3 linked regions of the Astyanax mexicanus genome follow. The protein of the gene in region 2 purifies or fractionates together with the protein of the main gene of each other region. This does not show direct contact. Links are inferred from orthologs where the notes say so. Each region holds a gene or a part of one and is shown on either strand. Other genes may lie near its edges.

Region 1 (7,828 bases), on a different chromosome or scaffold from region 2:
GGTTTATAGAAGGCTGTTTCTGAAATATTCAAGGTCATGCTCATATGTAAATGACCATCTGCTTTTCATACAGAGATTTAAAAAGTTTTAAAAAGGGCCTCTCTTTAATTAATGACTTAAAATACAGTCAGAAGAGTAAAGGAGCTACACAAAGGCTTTTGAAGAAACAAAATTGTGGTTTTCAGAAAATGGTTACTAATAGATATTGATTCTTGGAGTCATGGCCTCTGCTCCCACACAGATTAACATTCCACATAAATGTTGTAAGCGCATGCCAATACATGTCTGAAGGCCAAAACTGACCAAACCACTTTCTAAACTCAATGTGGTGAGCGTAGAGCTGAGGCGAAATTTCGAAATTGAGGAAGCTATGGTGAAAGAGGCGAGAATAATGGCACGCTAATCAAAAAAAGTAAGAAAAACTCACTAACCTTTACATGGTACTCTCCATCCAGCAGAATATTCTGTGTTTTCAGATCATGATGGAGCAGCGGAGGGGTCATGTTGTGGAGGAAGTTGACTCCAAGTGCAATTTCATACAGAATTCGAAGTCGCAGCGGCCAGGCCACCACTGGGTACATGTTTTTCTGCCAAACACGAAAAATGACAAACAGGATGAGCAAAACTGAAATACTGAGATTTGTTATTAAAGGTCACATTTTATAATTTTTTTCCCATTCATTTTAAAATATCTAGTTGTGGTCTCTAGTATGAATGAATTTCATGTGAGCCATTTTTCTCCGGTGTTTCTGTTTAGCCCTGCTTTAAATCACTGAATTAGTGGTCTCTGAAGAAAAACAGGATATTGGCTCTTGCTCAGAACTATATATATTTATACATGCAAACAGATCGCCTCTGATTGGTCAACAGCACTGCAGCAGAGAACATAACCTCCAGCAGTGAAAAGTGGCGTTGATAATTTCTTTCAGCTAAACTAACACTACTAAACTCTAAACTCTTACCTCAGACTTGCTGATTCAGTGCTTGTGCAGTTTTACCACGGTGAAGACCCAGAGTCTGCTTTATACTTTATATCATAAAATCTGTACAAATGGCGCCCGCTTTGACCGGTGTTCTGTCGAGTTGTGCTACCCTGTCAAACCGTGCTTCACTAATGTATATTTAAGGCCTTGGTAAAACGCAAAATCAGCCGGAGATCAGATTTAAACCTGTAGTTACTTACACAAGAAAGCTAACGCTAACTAGCTGGTGTAAACAGAGCTGTAAGCTCTTTAGTTACTGCACCCCGGGTTTAGTTTACTAATTAGTTTACTAATACACGAGTTGATGCTTTTGCAGATCGACTCGTTTTTCGGAGTATTCTCTTTTCTTTTCTAGCTACTGCAGATAATAGAGGTTATAGAATAGTTCCAATGCAGCATCGTATACAAATCAGAGAAACTTATTGTATTTCACAAAGAACTAGAAAAAGTGGATTTTAGCGGAAGGAGACCTTTAAATGAAGCATATTAAATATGTGTTTAGTTAAAGTAAACCTTACCTCGTGCAGAAGTTCATCCAGAGATCCATTGGTCATGTACTCTGTAACTATGCAGAAAAACTCAGGCTCGTTGCACACGCCAAATATTTGAATTATGTGGTTGAACCGGGCCTTGTGTAGCACCTCAGCTTCTTTCAGAAGACAATTTCTTTCCCTGCAAGGAAGTGTACAATTACGCAAAAAGTGTTAGGGATTCCCCTTCTCTGAAACAGCTGAGTAGTGCTTACAACAGACAAGCCACTGCCGTCAAACTGTTTCTCAAGCATGACATGTGATTTTAGCTCTTCTTATCGTGCTCCTCCTGTACTGCTATTAGTGAATTAACTCCACTTTCTCATGTGTTGATGTCACACTGACACGAAATACCACCATTTAGCTGGAAGGTATGGCCAAAATGACACCACATCCTGGCATCTGCTCAACTTCATAATGAAATTAAATTCTTCAAAATGTTGTTAGATGCTGATCTTTTGTTGGTTTTATGTCATTATCAGTTGTGTCGAAAATTTAGGAAATAGATTCTGAGGCAGGATAACACCCAGTTACTTCTGAATCTTAGTTTAGCAATTGAGACTTTTATTTTATTGATCATAAAAGCTAAGAGCTGATGACAACCCAGTTACACATTTATATCTAGCAGTGAAACAATATTTTGCCAGCTCCAGGAGACATTGTTGTCCCAGTGACTAGTACACTCATCAATATACTGCCTTTTAAGTGAGAAAGAGCATATCCAACTCTATAAACTGTGGACAGCATTTCTCCAGAATTTGTCATAAAAAATAATGTCATTTAGAGCATTTATTTAATATAATATGGCTAAATATAAAATGGCTAAAATAACAAAAAAGATGCAGAGCTTTCAGACCTCAAATAATGCAAAGAAAACAAGTTCATATTCATAAAGTTTTAAGAATTCAGAAATCAATATTTGGTGGCATGTTCTCCACCAGTCTTACACACTGCTCTTGGATAACTTTATGCTACTACTGGTGCAAAAATTCAAGCAGTTCAGCTTGGTTTGATGGCTTGTGATCATCCATCTTCCTCTTGATTATATTGTAGAGGATTTCAATTTGGGAAAATTAAAGAAACTCATCATTTTTAAGTGGTCTCTTATTTACTTAATTATACTGGTTTATTATTATCATCAGTTCTAATACAGTACTTTTACCTGAGGGTGGATTAAAGCTAACCTTACTCTATCAGTATTGATGAAGGGAGAGTAAGTAAGCTAAGCTAGCCGGCTAGCTAACAGTAGCTAGGTTACCACATGTAGTTCACAACAAAAACAGCACTAAACTAGCTAAACTAAAGTATCGCAGGCCCCGCTGTGTCTGTCTCTCTCTCTTAGCTGCTGCGGAAAAGGCCGAACCGGAGCCCCGAGTCCTTGAGCTCACCTCTCCCCGACGGGCGAGTCCAGCTTCAGGCACTTGATGGCGACGGTGGTCCTCCAGTCGCTGTGCAGCGCCCGGAACACGGTGCCGAAGCCGCCCTTGCTGATGTAGTGCAGGTCGGTCAGCTTGCGGTAGGGGATCACGGGCAGCGCGCTGGTCAGGCTGCCGATGTTCACGCAGCCCATTGCGGGCTCCATTGCGACCGAAAAACGGAAACAATGCGGAGACGGTCAGCGCCGCCGGTTAGCGAAAATCCCCGCGGTGCGCCGCGGACGAGGCGGCCGAGCCGGAGCGTCTGATTAACGGCATGACTGAGGGACAGGAGGCGGGGACGGTGAAGACTGGCGCTCCAGCCAACGATAACCCACTCGACTGGAGAGAACGGTCGGTTTACGGAGCTTAACAGGAAAAAATCTCTAATATTAAAAAAAGCTCTAATAAAACGATATTCGGTAAAGTTTCCGATAACCCAGAAAACTGCACGCGACCTGCGGATGATTTATAAACTTAACGAAAAGAAACTGTCAGCGGTGAATCTGCGCTCTGTCACTAGCCCCGCCCCTCTCTCCACCGCCCCGCCCCTCTCTTTTTTCATCTCTCTATCTTTCCACCCCCTCTCTCTCTCCACCTCTCTATCTCTCTAGCAGTCTCTCTACCTCTCTCTTTCTATCTCTCTACTACTAATATGTTAGAGAGGTGAATGAGTTTAGTGAAATCTGAGATCATCACAAAATTATTGCTGTTTGTGGCCAAAATATTGTATTTTGGAAACAGCCCAAGGGATTTTCCAAAATACAGCAATGAAAACAGGTCAGCAGTGTGCTAAAACAATTTGCTATTTGCTATTAACTCTATTTACGTAAATAGAGCTGAGTCTTCTTTTGTGTCTTCCCCTGTGCACGTGTGTAGTTTTAAGACAGATATTCCTGGAAGCAGAAGCTCCATCAGATCTAAATAACAACAGCTTATCGACTTCAGCTGTTCTGACCTGTGATTGTCGATGGGTCAACATCAGTGTTTCGTCACATTCTCCAGACCAATTCAAAGCTCCTGATTAAGGCTGTATATATATATCTGTCTAAGCACCCTCACAGTCATGCTCCTCGGCCAGATTAAATCTAGACCTGGAACTACTGTGACTCTTAAAGTGGTTTGGGAATTCCCACGATGTAATAGGTTTCAGGGAAGTTCAGCAGATTTCTGGGAATCTCCAGCACTCTTAAATTAAACATCTTAAAATAATAACATTTAAAAAATCAAGTATATCATGTACTGTTTTGTTAATTATTTTAAATAATTATATATTTAATTGTGTTTTATAAATAATATTGCCAATACGTTCAGGATTTTTTTTTGACAGTCTATTGTTATTTAATTTGCCATAATATACTTTTTCTTTGTAATATTATACATAAAATAACACTTAGGTTAGATGTGGACCTAAACCTTGTCTATTACACTATTTTTCTTTATATATTTATTTATATAAGTTATTTATATACTGTTTAGCTTTAAATGAACTAAATTATCAATTCTACACACATTTAAACAGCAGCCCTTTTTAAATATATATATATATCATAATGATCAAAATCATAATGATAAATATTCTCAATTTAAAATATTTCCAGCTGGCTCTGCTCGCTGTCAATCACACCCCAGCGTCTACGCCCCGCCTCCACATGAAAACACTCCAGCGATTGTGTGCAAGTGCGGCGCGGTTCTTTTTAATACCACCTGTTTTCAGACATGTCCCGCCCCACGTGAGCTCAGATTCGCTAAAACGGTCACACCTGCTCTTCTAGGATTGGTAGAATCGACGACGTGCTGGCGAGTGCGATCTGGGAACCAATCAGAGCGCAGGATGCGGAATGCCACTAGTCAATCTCAGCGTATGGGGGCGGTGCTTAACTCAAAACGGGTGGATTTAAGATGCTGAAGCTGTCAGCTGATTTTGGAGCAACAATCTCTCCTATGAAACTCGTTTATAACGGGTATTTCACTCCTGCTCCTCAAAACACTGCGATTATCCTCCATATTTAATCTGCTGCTGGTAAGTAGCTAACCTGTTAGACTTATTTACTCAAATAATTTGCTGTTGGACAGAAAATAGTTACAGTTAGCCACTAATTTCTATGTATTTAAACCACATTATGTTATTATAGGGTTTAAAAATAGTAATATGTTTATAATAAATACGTTTCTGAGAAGGTATATTTTTGTGGGCACCACGTTTTTAGGTTCATAGATGTCCTTCAGATTTAGCTAGAAATGTTTTTAGCTAGAGGATGTCTGTTATTTCATGTTAATGTGGAGTTTTGACATTTTATTTTATACCAAAATGTTTCAAAATAGAATAAAATGATCCATGGTGAATGTGCTAAAAGCTAAGAATTTTCACTGGATTTCAGAACCTTAAACCAAATGCCTGTATGTTCCAGATTGAGGCTGTATGATAAATCATATTCTTATTTCTCTTTCACACAGTAAACGCACACACCAAACTGCTTCTCTGCCTGGGAAAATAAATGCAAAATAGTACCAACAGTAAAATTTTTTTTTTAACAGATTTAACAGCACTTTTTAAATTCTAATTCTTATGTTTAATTAAGTTCATTTTAAATACCAGTATGTTCTGCATTGTAAAATCATCCAAACTTTGAAGAAAAACAAAACCAGAATGTTTTTTATATATTTTAGATTCTTCAAAATAGGCACCTCTTGCTTAGATTAGACAGCTTTGCACATCTCTGCTGGACTTCCTCAGTCATTTTTAAGAGCTTGTTAAGAGTTAATTACTTGAATTTTTTGTCTCTTAATGTGTATGAGAGCATCGGTTGTAAAGTTGTGAAGAGGTAGAGTTACAGGTATACAGTGAATAGCTCTATTTAAGTAATGTTACAATCTATATTATGAGAAGCAAGAACTACTCAACTATGTAAAGAAAAAAATATTTAAAAGAAAAAATGAAGTTCAGGCAATCTGAAAAGAATAATTTCAACAACTTTGAAAGTATCCTCAAGTGCAGTTACCGCAAAAACCATCAAAAATGTTATGATTGAACTGGCCCTCATCAGGTCTGCCCCAGAAAAGGAAGAGTAAGAGTTTCTAAGCCTTAGAAACTGCAAGTTAACAGAACTCCGGATAAGTGCCACCTACAGATGCATCACAGATTATTTAAGTTTTGGTTAACACTTTGTTTAAGTATTAATTTCTTCAGTATCCTCCATATTTAGTACTTCAGTATTAATTTACAATGTATTCTAGAACTTTGTCCAAACTTTCTTACTTGGATAAGTTGGATTGGATAAGTAAAGCACTGTGTAAAAGGTGCTATATGAACACACTTGTCATGCTTTTTCCTAATCTTTGACTTAAAAAATATGTCCTTAAAAATTCTACCCTTTAATTTTTGCTCTACTTTTCACAGCTGCAGTAATGGCCGGCCCATTTGTTCCAGTCCCCTACCCTGTAGAAAGATGTCCAGCTATCTGGCAGCTCAGACACGGGATCAGAAGGACCTCCAGCCTCAGCAATCTCTCCGTCAACTCGGACTCATCCCTCTCACAGAACGCCTGGGTGAAGCCAGGGCTGAGGAAGATGAACAGTTTGGACTGCAGAGCCAGTAGAGAGAGTCTGTATGAAAGACCACCCTTAGCCACCTTGGTGGGCTACGAGGTCATGGAGGAGAGGGCGAAGTTCACGGTAAGTTTCTTTCAAATGTTCCTTTTAGAGGGTTCAGTTAAGTTTTGTTCTATTGAACAAACATACCACTGCTAATCAGCTCAAAAGTCAGTTGTGTTTGTGGATTATATTCGTATAGGGCTGATTTACAAACAAATGTAGATTAAAAGGAGAACTCTGGTGTAAAATAGACTTTTGCTGTAGTAAAACATGATAAAAAGTCAAACTTACCTTTGATTAATAGCACACCTTCGTTCTCCCACAGCGGTCTGAGATCCAGAAATTTTAACAGTTTGTCCAAACACCCTTCAGACTGGGTGATACAGGGCAAAATTTGCCCCGATAAATCACTTTTAACGTTTTACGTTATCCAGCTCAAAGTAGCTCCACACTAGCTCCTTGCTAGAATCTGGAGAGCCCTGACATTTAAAACGAAGAATTAATAACTTAAAAAGTGCACAAGAATCTTATTAAAAAACACTGTTTACATCCTATAAGGTGAGCTTCAGCTCCAAGTGCGGCCATCTTTGAACTGATAATAACATAGACATAGTACTTTTTATCTTGTTTTAATACAACAAAAGTCCATTTTACACCTGAGTTCACCTTTAAAATGCAACCAAGCTCATGAGGTTTTTGAATTATAATGAATGATAAAATGAAAAAAAAAAATGCTTTTCTGGCAAGCCTTTGTTTACATTCCTCCCCTTTCCTTCACTGTCTCGCTCGAGGTGACTGTAGTTTCCGCCGGTTCTCATTTTTCAGCCAGTTCTTGGGCTCCCTATCTTCTTATAAGAGCATTTTTTTCCGAGGCCATGTCCCAATTCACTAGCCGGGGCAGCAGTAGTGTATTGGACCGCGACCCTGACAACACAGGTTTGATCCTGCAAGAGGAGTGGTGTGTTTTTTTTTTTTTTCCTTTTTTCTTGGGTTTACCTGCTTTGAGATCACTGTTCTGCAACTGGGTTCAACAACCCTCTGGGCTGGAGAGCTACTAACTTAATTGCCAACCCCTGATCTACAAAATGCAGGTTTGAATAAGTCTTGTTGTGTTCAAACCTCCCTGAATATAAACTGAAGTGGGTGACTATCAGACAGTCACACACACATGACGAAAGAATCCGAGCCACCTAAACAAGAGCCACATTGATGCTGGCTAGAGGACTGGGTCTGAACATCTCCAAAACACCAGACCAGTCCCCAGTATTCAGTAGGGAGACCTAATTAGGTTTGGTTTCTCTTCTCA
Region 2 (7,547 bases):
TGTTAGTTATCTGTAACATCAGCTAAAGGAGGGTCAACGTGGCTAGCTATGTCTTTGACTGACAGTAGAGTAAAAGTTTTTAAAATGATCACGGTCCTACACAGCACCACTTCTTATTGATGATTTTGTAATAATGAAGATCCAGAACTTACTCGGGTCGGTGTTGATCACCGGTAAGGCTCTGACCGAGTCGGCGGGTTCATACTGGATACTCTGGAACCACGGCCGGAGGTCGATGTACGCATCGTACGCCTCGTGGAGAATGTGAATAAAATACGCACAAGCTTCTTCTCCTTTACTCTGGACCAGCTCCAGGATTTTACGAACCTATTTAGAAAAGGAAAAAACAAACAAACATAAAAACATCATCGGTACACTTTCAGTTCTTTAAGGAATGCCATTCCATATTGAAAAAGTGAAGCAAAAGTGTTTCTTTTTTTATCCAAACTAACAGAGAATGTTATTGAAAAATAAGGAAAATGTTAAAAAGGTTGCAGGAACATTAGCCTGTTATGTTACAGAAATAAAATTTCAGGAACATTCTGAAAATGTTTGACAAAATAAAGGTTTGCATTAGAACATTATTATTCAAGTCGAGTCAAGAACATTTAAAAACATTTAATAAAACAATCTTAAAAACGTTCAGAAAACATTCACCGGTCTTTAAATTACCTTTATACACTGTGTGATATAGGAGTGGGCGATATGACTCTAAAATAATATCTTGATATTTCATGGTATTTTCATGATATGGATACTTTTGGCAATAAGACAAAACATTGAATTAGAAAAAATATTTAGAATTTTATATGGCTAATTGAAATATATAAAAACAAATAATTTTATCAGATTTGTAACAGAAGTCAATGATCCAGGATGTCATGATAATAATAATGTACTCCATTTATCTCCATATATCCAGGATTAAAGTAAAGTAAAGTAAAGCAAAGCAAAGCAAAGCAAAGCAAAGCAAAGTAAAGTAAAGTAAAGTAAAGTAAAGCAAATTAAAGTAAAGTAAATCAAAGTAAAGTAAAGTAAAGTAAAGCAAATTAAAGTAAAGTAAATCAAAGTAAAGTAAAGTAAAGTAAAGCAAAGTAAAGTAAAGCAAATTAAAGTAAAGTAAATCAAAGTAAAGTAAAGTAAAGTAAAGCAAATTAAAGTAAAGCAAAGTAAAGCAAATTAAAGTAAAGCAAAGTAAAGTAAAGTAAAGTAAAGTAAAGTAAATCAAAGTAAAGTAAAGTAAAGTAAAGCAAAGTAAAGTAAAGTAAAGTAAAGCAAATTAAAGTAAAGTAAAGTAAAGTAAAGCAAAGTAAAGCAAAGTAAAGCAAATTAAAGTAAAGCAAATTAAAGTAAAGTAAAGTAAAGTAAAGCAAAGTAAAGCAAAGTAAAGCAAATTAAAGTAAAGCAAATTAAAGTAAAGTAAAGCAAAGTAAAGTAAAGTAAAGTAAAGTAAAGTAAATCAAAGTAAAGTAAAGTAAATCAAAGTAAAGTAAAGTAAAGTAAAGTAAAGTAAATCAAAGTAAAGTAAAGTAAAGTAAAGTAAAGTAAAGTAAAGTAAATCAAAGTAAAGTAAAGTAAAGTAAAGCAAAGTAAAGTAAATCAAAGTAAAGTAAATCAAAGTAAAGTAAATCAAAGTAAAGTAAAGTAAAGTAAAGTAAAGTAAAGTAAAGTAAAGTAAATCAAAGTAAAGTAAATCAAAGTAAAGTAAAGTAAAGTAAAGTAAAGTAAAGTAAATCAAAGTAAAGTAAAGTGTGTGGTATGTATGTAAGTTTTTGGTGTGTGTGTGTGTGTGTAAATGTATGTAAATATGTGTGTATGATTGTGCCCAGATATGCCCAGGTACTCTGTCCTGGGTAAATGCTGTAGTGCTGGATGCAGTCCTCCAGATAGACGGTTGTTTCCGGTTGAGAGTACGCTGTGTGCTACTGGCTGCTGCTTCTCACCGGTGTGTGGATAATTTTATGTGGATAATAAAACGTGTTAATTGTAAAGCGTCATTGGGTTTCTAGAAAGGCGCTATATAAGTTGAACTTCATTCATAAAATAAATGATACTGTACAGATATAATCTGTCTCTAGTAGATATATAAATGGGAAATGAGAACAGTATGAATTTTTCTTTTACCAAAAACAGTAAAAAAGTAGAACCCTGATGTGATAATTAGGGGTGGTTGATATGGTACCATATTTTAGGGCATAATATTGTTCACCATATTCTACATTTTTGGTGATATTATCATGTACGATAGGATATGGCACACCCCTAGTGATATATATTTAAGCAACCAGTCATGGTGAAGAGGGTGTGGCTTCTCCTGTATAATACACTATGAGTGTGTATAGTTTTTGAATTGTGTGTTTGTTTGTGTGTGTGTGTGTGTGTGTGTACCTGCTGGGTTCTGGTGTTGGTGTGCTGGATGATCTCCAGGTCCTCGGTACAGATGAATCCCTGGTTCTGCAGGTTATCTAGCACACACTGTGTGTTCCTCACGCGCTCCACCAGAACCTCGCGGTGGAGGGTCAGTAACTTCAGAGCTCGAGCCCCGTCCATCTCACACACACACACACACACACACACACACACACACAAACACACACACACAAGTGGACCGTCTGTCAGCTGAAGAGTGTCCCCAGTATCGCCAGTATCTCCAGTTCAGTCATGCTGGTGTTGCTGGTGAAGATCGTTTAATGAACTGAAAGTAAAACTGTAGAGAAACTCATAAAAACCCAACACTCGATCACTGCCTCTCACAGTGTGTGTGTGTGTGTGTGTGTGTGTGTGTGTGTGTGTGTGTGTGTCGCTGCTCTGTTTCAGGAAGTGAAACTGGAATGTCTGTTGAAATCTGACACTAACCACACACACACACACACACCCCTAGCAACTATTCGTGTTTCCTAAGTTTAACAGCATGTTACTCAAAACCATAGACTGTATATAGCTGGACAGAGCATCGTCTCTTAAAAGTGAAGCCACCACAGGTCGGGCGCCCCCTGCTGTTCGGCTGCAGAAAGCTGTGTAACTCCACCCATCCCCATAGGTTTCAATGGCAAAACAGAAAACTTTCAATCACGTTTTTTTCTAATATACTGTAATTCTACCTCCATTACTTAAATGCAGCAGCTAGTGTAGCCTCTGCTTATATTGTTACACTTTTATATCCCCACAGAATTCGTTTTTTAAAACGTTATTCAGCTCTATTCAAAAAAGGTGTGGTTATGGTAAAAGGGCTGCTTATGGGCGGGACCAATAACAGACCGTCAGCTCCGCTCCGCCCCGCTCTGCAGCCTGTGACCTCGAGGCAGCCCTCGTGGGCGGGGTTATTTAAATGAGTAGGCGGTCTCTCCACAGTCTTTCTTTCTCCCTCCTCTGGTCTCTACTGCGCTCTACAGACTCGGGTTTCAGGATCGCCAACATGGCGGAAGATTTTGGCTTCATTTTCATTGAATGAACGGCAACGGAGACACGGCGTCCATCTTTTTTACAGTCTCTGCTCAAAACATATTACAGTAATATAACTTAATACTTATATATTTAATAATACAGAAAGGGATCTTCAATAATTTAATGAATTTCATTTGATTACAGAAATTCCAAGTTCTGGTTTAAGCACAACTAAATAGATATTTTGTTTCCGAGGTTTGACCCCCCCCCCCCCCCCCCATTACTCCAAAATGCTACAGTAATATAAGTTGATCCTTATATTATTAATAGTATAGAAAGGCTTCTTCAAGAATTGAAGGATGTCATTTGATTACAGTTTGATTATCTGGTTTTATAAGACTCCAAAATCTGGTTTATGCACAACTAAATTGTTCTGAGGTTTGACCTCCGATTTCTCCAAACTGCTAAAGTAAAATCACTTGATACTTATATATTTAATAGTATATAAATGATGTCATTTGATTATTATGATTTGCTGGATTAATAGGACTGTTAATTCTGGTTTACGCAGAAATAAATAGACAATTGTCCTAGGTTTGACTTTTTATTACTCCAATACACTTCAGTAATATATCTTAATATTTGTAACATTACTAGTATATATAGACTTCTTTAATAATTTAATGATGTCATTTGATTACAGTTTGATTTGCTGGTTTCATAAGACTTCAAATTCTGGTTTATGCATGAACATATAGACATTTTTTTTGACCTCACATTACTATAAAATGCTACAGTAATATAAGTTAATACTTATATGTTTAATAGTACATAAAGGCTTCTTCAGAAATGTTATGATGTCATTTGATTATGGTTTGATTTGCTGGATTAATAGGACTGTAAATTCTGGTTTTCGCAGAAATAAATCAACAATTTTCCTAAGTTTGACTATTCATTACTCCAATACACTAGAGTAAAAAATATCTTAATATTTTAATAGTATAAAACATTAATAGTATAGAAAGACTTCTTTAATAATTTAATGATGTCATTTGATTACAGTTTACTTTGTTGGTTTTATAAGACTCCAAAATCAGTTTTTAGCACAAATAAATATATTTTTTTCCTAATTTTGACCTACCATTACTCCAAAATGCTCCAGTAAAATCATTTGATACTTATACGATTAATAGTATAGAAAGGACTCTTTAAGATTTTTTTTGATGAAATTTGATAACAGTTTGATTTGCTGATTTTATAGAACTTTAAATTTGGCCTTCTGTAAAATCAAATAGACATTTTTCCCAAATTTGACCTTTCATAACTCCAATATGCTACATTAATATAACGTGGTACTTATGAAATTAAAACTATAGAAAGGCTTTTTCAATGCTTTCATGATGTCATTTGATTACAGCTTAATTTGCTGATTTTGTCGCACTCCAAATTCTGGTTTACGGAAGACCGAACAGACCTTTTTCCTAAGTTTGACCTCCCATTACTCCAATATGCTACAGAAATATATGTTAATATTTGTATCATTAATAGTATATAAAGGCTTTTTCAAGAATGTATTGATGTCATTTGATTAAAGTTTGATTTGCTGGTTTTATAAGACTCCAAAATCTGGTTTATGCACTAAATAGACACATTACCTAAGTTTGACCTTCCAGTACTCCAAAATGCTACCGAAATATCATTTGATACTTATAACCTTAAAAGTATAGAAAGGCTTCTTTAAGAATTTAATGATGTCATATGATAACAGTTTGAATTCCAGTATTATAGGACTCCAAAATCTGGTTTATGCACAACTAAATAGACATTTTCCCTAATTTTAACCTTTTATACTTAAACATGCTACAGTGATATCACTCAATACTTGTAAGATTAATAGATTAATAGAAAGGCTTTTAGTCAAGAATTTAATGATTTCATGTGATAACAGTTTAATTTGCTGATTTTATAGAACAAAACCGAATAGACTTTTGTTCTAGGTTTGACCTCCCATTACTCCAAAATTTTACAGAAATATCACTTGATTTTTATATCATTAATAGTACATAAAGGGGTCTTCAAGATTTTAATGATGTCATGTGATAACAGTTTGATTTTTGGGTTTTATAGAACTCCAAAATCTGGTTAATGCACAACTAAATATGCTCCAATATGCTACAGTCCTATAACTTCATTATATAATTAATAATTAATAATTGTTTTTCGTGAGACCAAAGATTATACCTCCCTGAGAAATACAAGCCAAAGTGATTAAAAAAAAAACGTTACAAAAACTTTAGGGATAAGAATCCTAAAATAGCAAACAAAACCCAAAGTAATATTTAACTTAGGTGTTTATCTAACTAAACCTAACAAAAAAAAGAAAGAAAATTTACACAAATAACTAACAAGAACTAAAGAAAGAAGATCCCCCCCAAAAACAGGCTTTATCCCCTAAAGTACTAATGTCAAACTCAAAACTCAGTTTAGAACTAAAATGATTCTTTTAAATCACAGTATTTTGATAAACTGCTTCGAAGTCCCAATTCAGGTTTTGTTTTGTCACATTTCTAATATGTGACAATAAGCTGATCTTTTTTTTTCCCTTACAAATATGAAAATTTTCTCATTCTTAAAACATATAATTACTGTCCTATTTGCAAAATCGCTCATTTATTTATATCAACTATTCTTAGATTTCTCTTTCTTTCTTTTTTAATTGAGTATTTATTCTTAAAATTCTTAAAAATATATGAATTAATTTTTCTATTTCTATTTTGTTTTAATTCTGAATTATTTTATTTTTTTCTGTTCCACACAATCTTAATCTTTTATCATTAATCACAGTAAGTGAAAACTCTGAAATCAAAAACATGCATGAAACGTTTGTCCTGGTGGTAAAGAGTGGTAGTGCAGGTTCAGGTGGAGGCTTGTTATAATCTGTAAATATATTAAAATTACAGTTTTTCTCTGTTTTTTTTTTTTTTTAGCATTTTTCAAAATAAGATTGAATCTCTCAAAATGGTGTGTTCAACCTGCGCTTTATCTAGTCATAGAATCCATTTCTCATTCATTTATACAAACAGCACATTTTTTTATCTAATAATCCTGAAGATAATTCTGTACATCAGGTGAATTATGACTTTTACTAAGAATAGGAAGTCAATAATTCAAACGTTTCATAGAGAGAAGAGGTGTGTAATCTAACAATGTAATTTATACTATAATACTGTAACATTAAAGACTAACTAAACTTCACAAAAAAGAAAAAAAAGAAGATTCCCCCAAAAGAAACAGGCCTTATCCTCTACAGTAATTATGTAAAAATCTGTATTTAGTTAGTTTGTTATTTCTTGTTTTATTGTGTATTTTGCACTTTTATCTTTATGTGGTATACTTGGCGGTGAGGAAATAAATAATTTTATTGTAAAAGGAAACTTGTTTCTTACTGTTTAAGAGACAATAAACTATTAAATCTTGAATCTTGAATCTTGAGTAATTTTTTGTACTACAGTGTAGATGCAGAAATAAATACAGAGATTTAGATTTAGCAGAACATTATGAACACCTCCTTGTTTCTACACCCATTATTGTGCTACTGTTTTCAGCTCCACTGATTATACATTACACTGGTTCTAAAACTGTGTTTAGAACCTGTATATAATCTACACTTCAGTCCTTCACTCTCAGAACTACAGTTTTATCATTATTAACATAAGTTTTATTGGTCCTACAGTAAAACCCTGTGGAACACCACAAGTGTGTAAGACTGGTGGAGGAGAACGTGATGCCAAGATGTATGAAAAAAACTGTGATTAAAAACCAACCAGGGTTATTCCACCAACTATTGATTATTTCTGAACTCTTAAAACTATGAATATGAACTTGTTTTCTTTGCATTATTTGAGGTCTGAAAGCTCTGCATCTTTTTTGTTATTTCAGTCATTTCTCATTTTCTGTAAATAAATGCTCTAAATGAGAATATTTTTATTTGGAATTTGGGAGAAATGTTGTCTGTAGTTTATAGAACAAAATGACAATGTTCATTTTACTCAAACATAAACCTATAAATAGCAAAATCAGAGAAACTGAATCAGAAACTGAAGCTGTCTAATTGTTTTAAGTAAATAGTTCACTGTAGTTGTGTTTGTGTTTTACTGTATAAT
Region 3 (7,774 bases), on a different chromosome or scaffold from region 2:
ATAAAACACACAAGTCATTGTCATCTACTTGTCACAGTGGTATTTTCTTTGTTAAAAATTATAAGACCATTGCATTATCCTAGTTTATTGTAGTTCCAACGTGTTCTGAACCTTTTCTTCATTATAACAACAAGCTTAAAATTGCTAGTAGTATGACTTGGTAGCTAGCTACCAGGCTAAATTTCCTGTTCCACCTTAAATGATACAGCAGCAGTGCCTAAAGCTTCTGCATTTAAAGTGGAACTACATAATAGCCAGTTTCAGCTCCCTGTTACAAATTAATTTGGGTAAATGATACGAAATATATGTTGCCTTAAATTAAAGTAAAGTAAGCAACAAGATTACTAAACTTTACTGTCTTTGCTGTAACATTAGACTGGCGGGGTTGCCTACAGAGCACCGCTATTAGTAATCTAGTATTCTAGCAGTGTTCTTTTTCTATTTATTTATGTTTAGGTTCTTGAATAAGATTTTAACCACTTCCCCTTGTAACTCAGTTACTTTAGTCCTTTAGAAGGCTGCGTTTTAAAGAATTGGCAACTGAAGTATCCTTCTAAGTCTTCTGTTACCCACATTTCTCTGTACACATTTAGCGTTAAGGGTAACTAAATTTATTTTTAATTTTCTGTGGACAAAAAAAGTAAAAGCCAGAGGCACAAATTAGGAGGCTCTCTTTTCTCCCTCAAAAGAGGCGGAACCTTGCTCGTTGTATTAGCCTCCCAAAAAGCAATCTTTCTAAGACAGTGTCCTACTGAGGACCTGCTCTACGTGGACTGCAGCGTAGGCTTTGGAACGTAGCTACAGCTTTCAGCTTTTCTTCCAGCATTTTGACGTGTCTGAGTGGGTTCACTGCCCACTACTGTTTTTATTATGTGTACTGCACCTTTTGTACACAGTGTAAATTTTTGAGAACACCAACTTAGACCAAACGAGGATACGTATGCAGCAGCCATCATGCAACAAAAACAAAAATGCATACTTAACAGCAATTATATCTCTAGCCCTAGGGGAGCCAATTTAGGGACAAGTGTTTAGAATTTATTTTTCCCCCAATTTTCTGCCTGATATCATAACTGTCAGTTCCCAGCCACTAGCTAGGATTCTCCTATCACGCAATGTTACCAGCGCCTGGAGGGTGAAGGCTAGCATGTGCTTCCACAGAGTCGCCTTCAATAAAACCAGCCCACTGCTTCTTTTAAAACTGCTGCTGATGCAACATTATAGGACGGCTGAATGTGCTTAAACTGCCAATTTTGTTACATCAGCTAACAGACGCCCACGCTGGCGAGTGTTTGTGCTTAAGTGGTGGTTGGGGGGGGGGACAGATGGTCAGTGGTGCTGTCTTGTTGTTTTGGACATGGACAGCTGTGGTATCACTGGAGATGAAACTTATGATAAAAACATATGATCTTCTGGTGATTGGGCAATGCTTAAGGTGACCAATGTTTCAGACTGATATTTGTTAATGTATTTATTAAACTCAAGAAGAGCAGAATGTTTAGGTTATGCTGGACTACTGTGGATAAATAGCTGCATTTTATTCATTTGTATCATTCTATATATTTTTTTTTCTTTTGAGAGAAATTTAACGGTTTGAATAACAAAAATCATTGATCTGATTTGTATACTTTGAAGGCCAGGCCAGGAACATATTGGAAACAATTACTGTTGTTTACTCTATCCATTGTTTTATTCTGTATTACCTTGTATATTTAAGACTAAGCTCCAAAATAACTGATGGTTTTGGGTCCAAGGTTGGTTCATTTTGTGTTTTACTTGCAAATCTGATTATTTTACACATTTCTCAGGTTGAAATGTGGTTCAAATATCTTATAATTTTTTAACAAAAGATTTATATTTAACAAATAAAATCAGATGAAACAATTTAGTTGATTTTGTTGTTTTCAAAAACAGGCGTTCCTGTACAGAAAATGCCTCCATCTATGCCATTTTTTGGATTCTTTAATGTTATGTGCTTTATTACTGACAACAGTAACTGTTGTAAAAATGTGTTTTATTATTATTATTATTGCATATATTGGTATATCTTAATGAAAAAAAGCCTGTACAGTGCATCTGGATAACAAAGCCATATAAAAAAAATGTCTGTCTGCTTTATCCCTTGTATCTGATGAAATAATTGTCTTTTACGGGAGTTACCTTCTTATATGTCGGAGGTGTTGGAACTTTTCACTGATATTGTTGAACATGTATGTCTCAGTTTGCAGAAAATATTAAGATCTTTTTTTTGTCTTTTTTAAAATATCACTGTATTTGATGATTCTGTTCATTTTATACGCAAATGGTTGTCAAGCCTGTATTTAAGAAATAAAATATGCATTTGTTTTGGAATGCGGACTTGATTATTTGTTTCTGTACTGTAACCTGAAAATCCTGATGCCTATTTTTGTGAGAAAATATAATCAAGGCTGTTTCCAGCTGGAAAACCACTTTACAGAAAAACTCCCAGAAAGAGAAAGAAATCTTGAGGAGAACCTGGACTTAAAAGTATTGCAAAAGAGACAACTGAACAAATAAAAAAAATTAAAAGCTCCTGTACGGCAACTTTATTTTGAGTTGAAAATAAAAATTGTGTCAGCCTAAACAAGCTTATTGCTTCTTCATGCTATCAAACCTTTGCAACTTTTTGTTAAATATACAATTAATTCAACTGCAGTGCACGCTTCTTGATACAAAATTTAAATTTGAACTGTTCTTATTTTTATGACATACATCAGAGGCAGAATATATCTGTTTAGAATTAATTATTATTATTATTCCAATACGTCATGTACAGAGTGCATTATTAGCATTATGAGGCATGATAGGCCATTGGTTTCTGGAAATCTAGAGAAAAGTCCGGTATTTTATTATAACGCAATAGCAAAATACTGCTAAGTCCATTTTTTGTTCAATGTTGTGCAGCTTTAATACATTTCAGAAATGTGTTGTTTGGGCATTGTTGATGAGTTTAAGGGAATTAAGAATAACCTTAATTTTTAGTGTTTCATCGATAATGATACTGTCTGATATCTGATATACTGTGCTGATATTGGCACTTAGACACGGTATGTGTATATGCAACAGAGACCACAGAGATCACAAACTGACAGGCATGCACACCAGTAGTATTTTTTTTATCATTCTATAAAACATTCTAAACAAACAAAGAAAAATAACTTTAAGTAATAAGTAATATTATAATTATAATATTATATTTATAATACTTTGTATTATTACTAATACAGAATCTATTGTGAATTGTGGCATTCCACAGGGTTGAATTGTAGGGCCTTTGAAAATGTAAAGAACTATGTGAGCCTACATACAGGAAAAACGTGGTTAATCAACTACAAACAAACCTGATGTAAAAATGAGAGGTAAGATTTTAATCATTAATATTTTTGTGTAGGAGTGTGCCATATCGCATTGTACGCAATAATATTGCCAACACTTTTTTATACTGTAAACAGTATTAAACCCTGAAATGAAGGTAAATCTGAAAAATTTAGTGAACTTTTAAAGTACCCAGAAGTGATAAGGTGTTAAGGTGATGAAACTGGCACTCGTTAGGAAAAGGAAAGCCAAAAGTTACCTCTGTTGCACAGGACAAGTTCATCAGAGTTACCAGCCTCAGAAAGCACAGATAAGAGCCACCTAAATGCTTCACAGATTATTTTGGTTAGTTTTTACACTTTTAAAGGTCTCCTTCCCCTAAAATTTACTTTTTTCTTGTTGTTTGTGAAATATTATAGGTATCTCTGAGTTGTATATGCAGCTACACATGAAACTGTTCTTCAAACTCTATTGTCTGCAGTACCTAGTAAAATAAAATGTTTAGAAAAACAAGTTGATCAGGAAAAGCACCATGTTTACGTCAACCTGTGAGTTCATGACCTCACCCATCTTGGCTCAGGACCGCCCACAGACAAAGCTAAAGCCAGGCTGCAGCAGAGCAGACATTGTCAGCTAAAGAGCTTACAGCTCTGTTTACACAAGCTAGTTAGCATTAGCTATATTGTGTAAGTACCTATAGGTTTAAATCGGATCTCCGGTTGATTCTGCATTTTACCAAGAGCTTGAATACACAATAGGGAAGCTACGGCACTCGCATCGCTGTGAGTCTGACGTTAAGCGAAGTTTAAGGGTTAACTTTACCTAGCGCTTAGTGCTGTATCTTTAAAACTAAGGCTGTGTCTCCGAAAACATTTTGTCCTTTGAGTTTAAGAGCTGTAAAACTGACTGCAGGGGAAGGCAGGTAGGCGTTCTCTGCTGCAGTGCTGCTAGCCAATCAGAGGCGATATGTTTGCATGTATGAATATTCATGAGCAAGAGCCGAAATCCTGTCTTTCTTCAGAGACCACTAATTCTGTGAAATAAAGCAGGCTTATACAGAAACACCAGAGCACTTTTATCCACAAAAAAAACTGCTCACATGGCATTCCTTCATACTAGAGACCACAACTAGACATTTTAAAATGAATGAGAAAATGATTGAATGAGACTTTTAAGTTACTACATGAGTCTTTGTGTGTTCCTTCATAGTCTGGATGACTTATGTATTAATTTACTATTAGTTTACTATCATCTGTAAACACAGTAAAACAAGTCTAGAAGTTCTGTCACTTGAGCCAGTAGTTGATGAAGTCTGGTTCAGAGTTCAGTGGTTGCAGGCGTTTATTTTGCCGGGTGTTTTTCTCCACAGTTGGGAGTTTGACAGTCCTGATGTTTACATGGCGCTAAGCAGCAGCGAGGAGGGCCTTTCGGTTTCACTCAGAACTTTCTAGACCTTCTTCTTCACCCACGAGAACGGCGGACTCATGGCCAGCGACAGGTAACCTCCACACGGCCACAAACCGACAGTATAGCGCGATATAAGGTGGATTATTAACCTTTTATTAACCCTGTTTGCTTTTTATTGCAGGAGTTTTACTGACAGTTTCATAGACGAGGACCCGAAGCGAGCTCTGCAGGTAAAAACACTGCGATAGCCAGCTAGCGTAGCTAGCATAGGGGGCTAACTTGCTAACCTAGCTAGCTAACTAGTTCACTTAGCTTAAAACACAATGCTTAAATGTATGAGCGTTAAGAGTAACTTATACCATTAAATACATTTTTCATGTCTGAGGAGCCAAAAACACACGGGATTTGTGCAAATGGACATTTAACTTAGCTAAGCAGCGCAGTGTCTGAAAACCGGATGAGCTAGGTTAGCTGAATGGCTAGCTAGCTACGTTAGCCTGTTAGCCGAGGTAGGGTAAAGTGACTGGGTTTGTTAGCTAGTTAGCTAAGTTTTGACAGTTGTGATGTGATGGCTAACCAGTTTAAACTGTAGACAGCTGTTAACTCTTAGATAATATGCAGCAGTTCCGCGGTTTTTAGCTTTGGTCAGTGTTTTTAGCCAGTCTGCTCCATAGACTGTGGTTTGCTCTAGCTAGCAAAGCTAACGTAGCTGTTCTCGAATTTTTCTGACTAACTAAGCTAGCTAACTAACTGTGTTCACATCCAACACACAGTTATTCACAGTTTACATAATATATTTGAGTTAATACTATTAAAAAGCGTGGGTATAATATGTTTTGCTCACTTTTAGAGTTGGTGCCTAAGTTAGCTAGCTAGCAGAGTATCTAACGTTACCTGTCTATAACCTGCTTCTCACATCCAGAATGTTCTATGCCCAGCTGTGAAGAGCCTGAGAATTAGGATGGTGATGCTACTGTATAAATGTACCGTGGTAAAAATAAGAAAGAGAAAAACATACAGCATGGGTAGTTCAGGCTTGTTGACCAGCATATGGTAGTAATGTTTTTTCTTATTTTGGGGTTATGTGGTTCACGTGGTTCACAAGCATGGTCAGCCAGACCAGGCTAGCTAGTAAGATAACTAGTATAAATGACCAAGCTTGACCATGCTGGTTAACCAAAATGAGCAGCAGCAAGACTAACGTGCATGACAAAGCTGGTCCAATATGCTGTATTTCTATATGGGTTTGATGGTTTAGCTGGTCTATAACCTGCTGCTGAGATCCAGAATGTTCCATGCTCATCTTTACCATATTAGCTACTGTATAAGTTTTTCCTGGTAAAAAAAAAAAAAACATACAGCATGGCTAGTTCAGGCTTATTTACCATCATATGGTATTTATGTTTTTCTTATTATGGGGTTTGATAGTTTACAAGCATGATCAACCTGACCAAGCCTGCTAACTAAATAACCAGTATAAGCTTGACACAAAGCTGGTCCAATATGGTATGTTTTGATTTGGGTTTGATCGTTTGCTGGTCTATAACCTACTGTATAAATTCACCCTGGTTTAAAAAGAATTAAGACTTGTTGAACAGCATATGGTAACCTAACCAAGCTAGCTAACTAGATATCCAGTATGACCAAGCTTGACTATGCTGGCTAACCAACGCGAGCAGCAGCAAGACTAAAGTGCTTTGACCAGCATGACAAAGGTGGTCCAATATACTACATTTTATTTTGGGTCTGATGATTTAACTGGTCTATAACCTGCTGCTGAGATCCAAAGTTGTCCTTGCCCAGCTGTGGAGAGTCTGTGAATTAGGATGATGAAGATGTACCATATTTGCTACTGTATACATTTACCCTGGTAAAAAAAAGAAAAACATACAGCATGGCCAACAGCTGGCTTAGGAACCAGCATTGAGTGTGATTTCATTTGGGTTTAATGGTTTAGCTGGTCTAACAGCATAATCAGCCTGACCAAGTTAGCTGCTTCATTATATTTCCAGTATGACCAAGCTTGACCATGCTGAGATCCAGAATGTTTCTAAGCTGTGGAGAGAAGACTAAGGTGGTTGACCAGCATGACCAAGATGGTTGGCTATGGTGGTCAAGAGCTAGTTAACTTGCCAGATTACCAATATAAGATATGTTTTCATTTGGGTTTGTTGGTTTAGCTGGTGTACAAGCATGATCAACTAAACCAAGCTAGTTACATATACAGTATGACTGTAGACCGATGTGGGATTTCTGGGCCAATGCCATTATCATCTCTGCTAATGCCAGTATGCACAATTTTGACTTACTAGAAACTAGACACCATGTTATAACTTTAGAAACAAATGTAGCATTTATATAGTTTTAGTTTCCAACCAACTGTATGCAGACAATAAAATGAAGGGTGTTTCCTGAGAAATCTGTTTTCATATCTGTTGTTTTCACATTAATATATCTTATATTAACTGGCCCTTATATAAACTGATCGCAGCCGGAAACCTTTTTGTAAATAACAGGTTAAATAAAACAATAGCCCTATTGAAACTAATAAAATAAATATAAATGAGCTTATATTAAAGGATTTAAATGTAGCATTTATTTAAAAGGATTTAAAATGTCAGCAAGTATCGGTTTGAAATATCTAAACATTGTTCAATGCCAGTGATTATAAAAAACTATTATCGGCCGATACCAGCATTATGGTATGCTTTTGCCTGGCTGACCAGCATTTCAACCACCTTGACTCTCAAGGCTCAGCTTTGACAGACTGATACCAGCTACTATCAGAAGTCTTTCTGTACTTTCAAACTAACTAACTAAGTTTTGTTATGTTCACAGGAGCTGAATGTGGCTTTGGGAGATACAGCTGACAATGCAGAATGGCTCTGTCAGCGATCTTATGCACACATTCTGGTCCAGGACTATAACAGTAAGTTCCTGTTTTTGGTTTTCTTTGCTTTTTTTTCAGTGTATCTCAGACTATTTAGCATATGTTTATCAGCAGCATAACACATCTTTGTGTTTGGCTTAC

What was found.
Region 1: the proteins of nod1 (region 2) and ripk2 purify together in Homo sapiens (affinity purification with western blotting; 4 studies listed by BioGRID and IntAct, with this or other methods). This does not show direct contact. The link is inferred for Astyanax mexicanus from reciprocal best matches to the Homo sapiens genes NOD1 and RIPK2.
Region 3: the proteins of nod1 (region 2) and sugt1 purify together in Homo sapiens (affinity purification with western blotting; 3 studies listed by BioGRID and IntAct, with this or other methods). This does not show direct contact. The link is inferred for Astyanax mexicanus from reciprocal best matches to the Homo sapiens genes NOD1 and SUGT1.

What each region holds. Positions count from the first base shown.
Region 1 is NC_064415.1:55,318,232-55,326,059, reverse strand, and holds the start of ripk2 (receptor-interacting serine/threonine-protein kinase 2), read right to left. Parts: upstream 3,109-7,828; 5' UTR 3,096-3,108; coding exon 2,902-3,095; intron 1,656-2,901; coding exon 1,502-1,655; intron 588-1,501; coding exon 432-587; intron 1-431. Other genes in the region: sorting nexin-16-like, read left to right, coding at 6,337-6,603.
Region 2 is NC_064408.1:130,924,401-130,931,947, reverse strand, and holds the start of nod1 (nucleotide-binding oligomerization domain-containing protein 1), read right to left. Parts: upstream 3,101-7,547; 5' UTR 2,551-3,100; coding exon 2,389-2,550; intron 328-2,388; coding exon 153-327; intron 1-152. UniProt on the Homo sapiens protein: Pattern recognition receptor (PRR) that detects bacterial peptidoglycan fragments and other danger signals and thus participates in both innate and adaptive immune responses.
Region 3 is NC_064428.1:20,742,431-20,750,204, reverse strand, and holds the start of sugt1 (protein SGT1 homolog), read left to right. Parts: upstream 1-4,687; 5' UTR 4,688-4,820; coding exon 4,821-4,834; intron 4,835-4,924; coding exon 4,925-4,973; intron 4,974-7,581; coding exon 7,582-7,672; intron 7,673-7,774. UniProt on the Homo sapiens protein: May play a role in ubiquitination and subsequent proteasomal degradation of target proteins.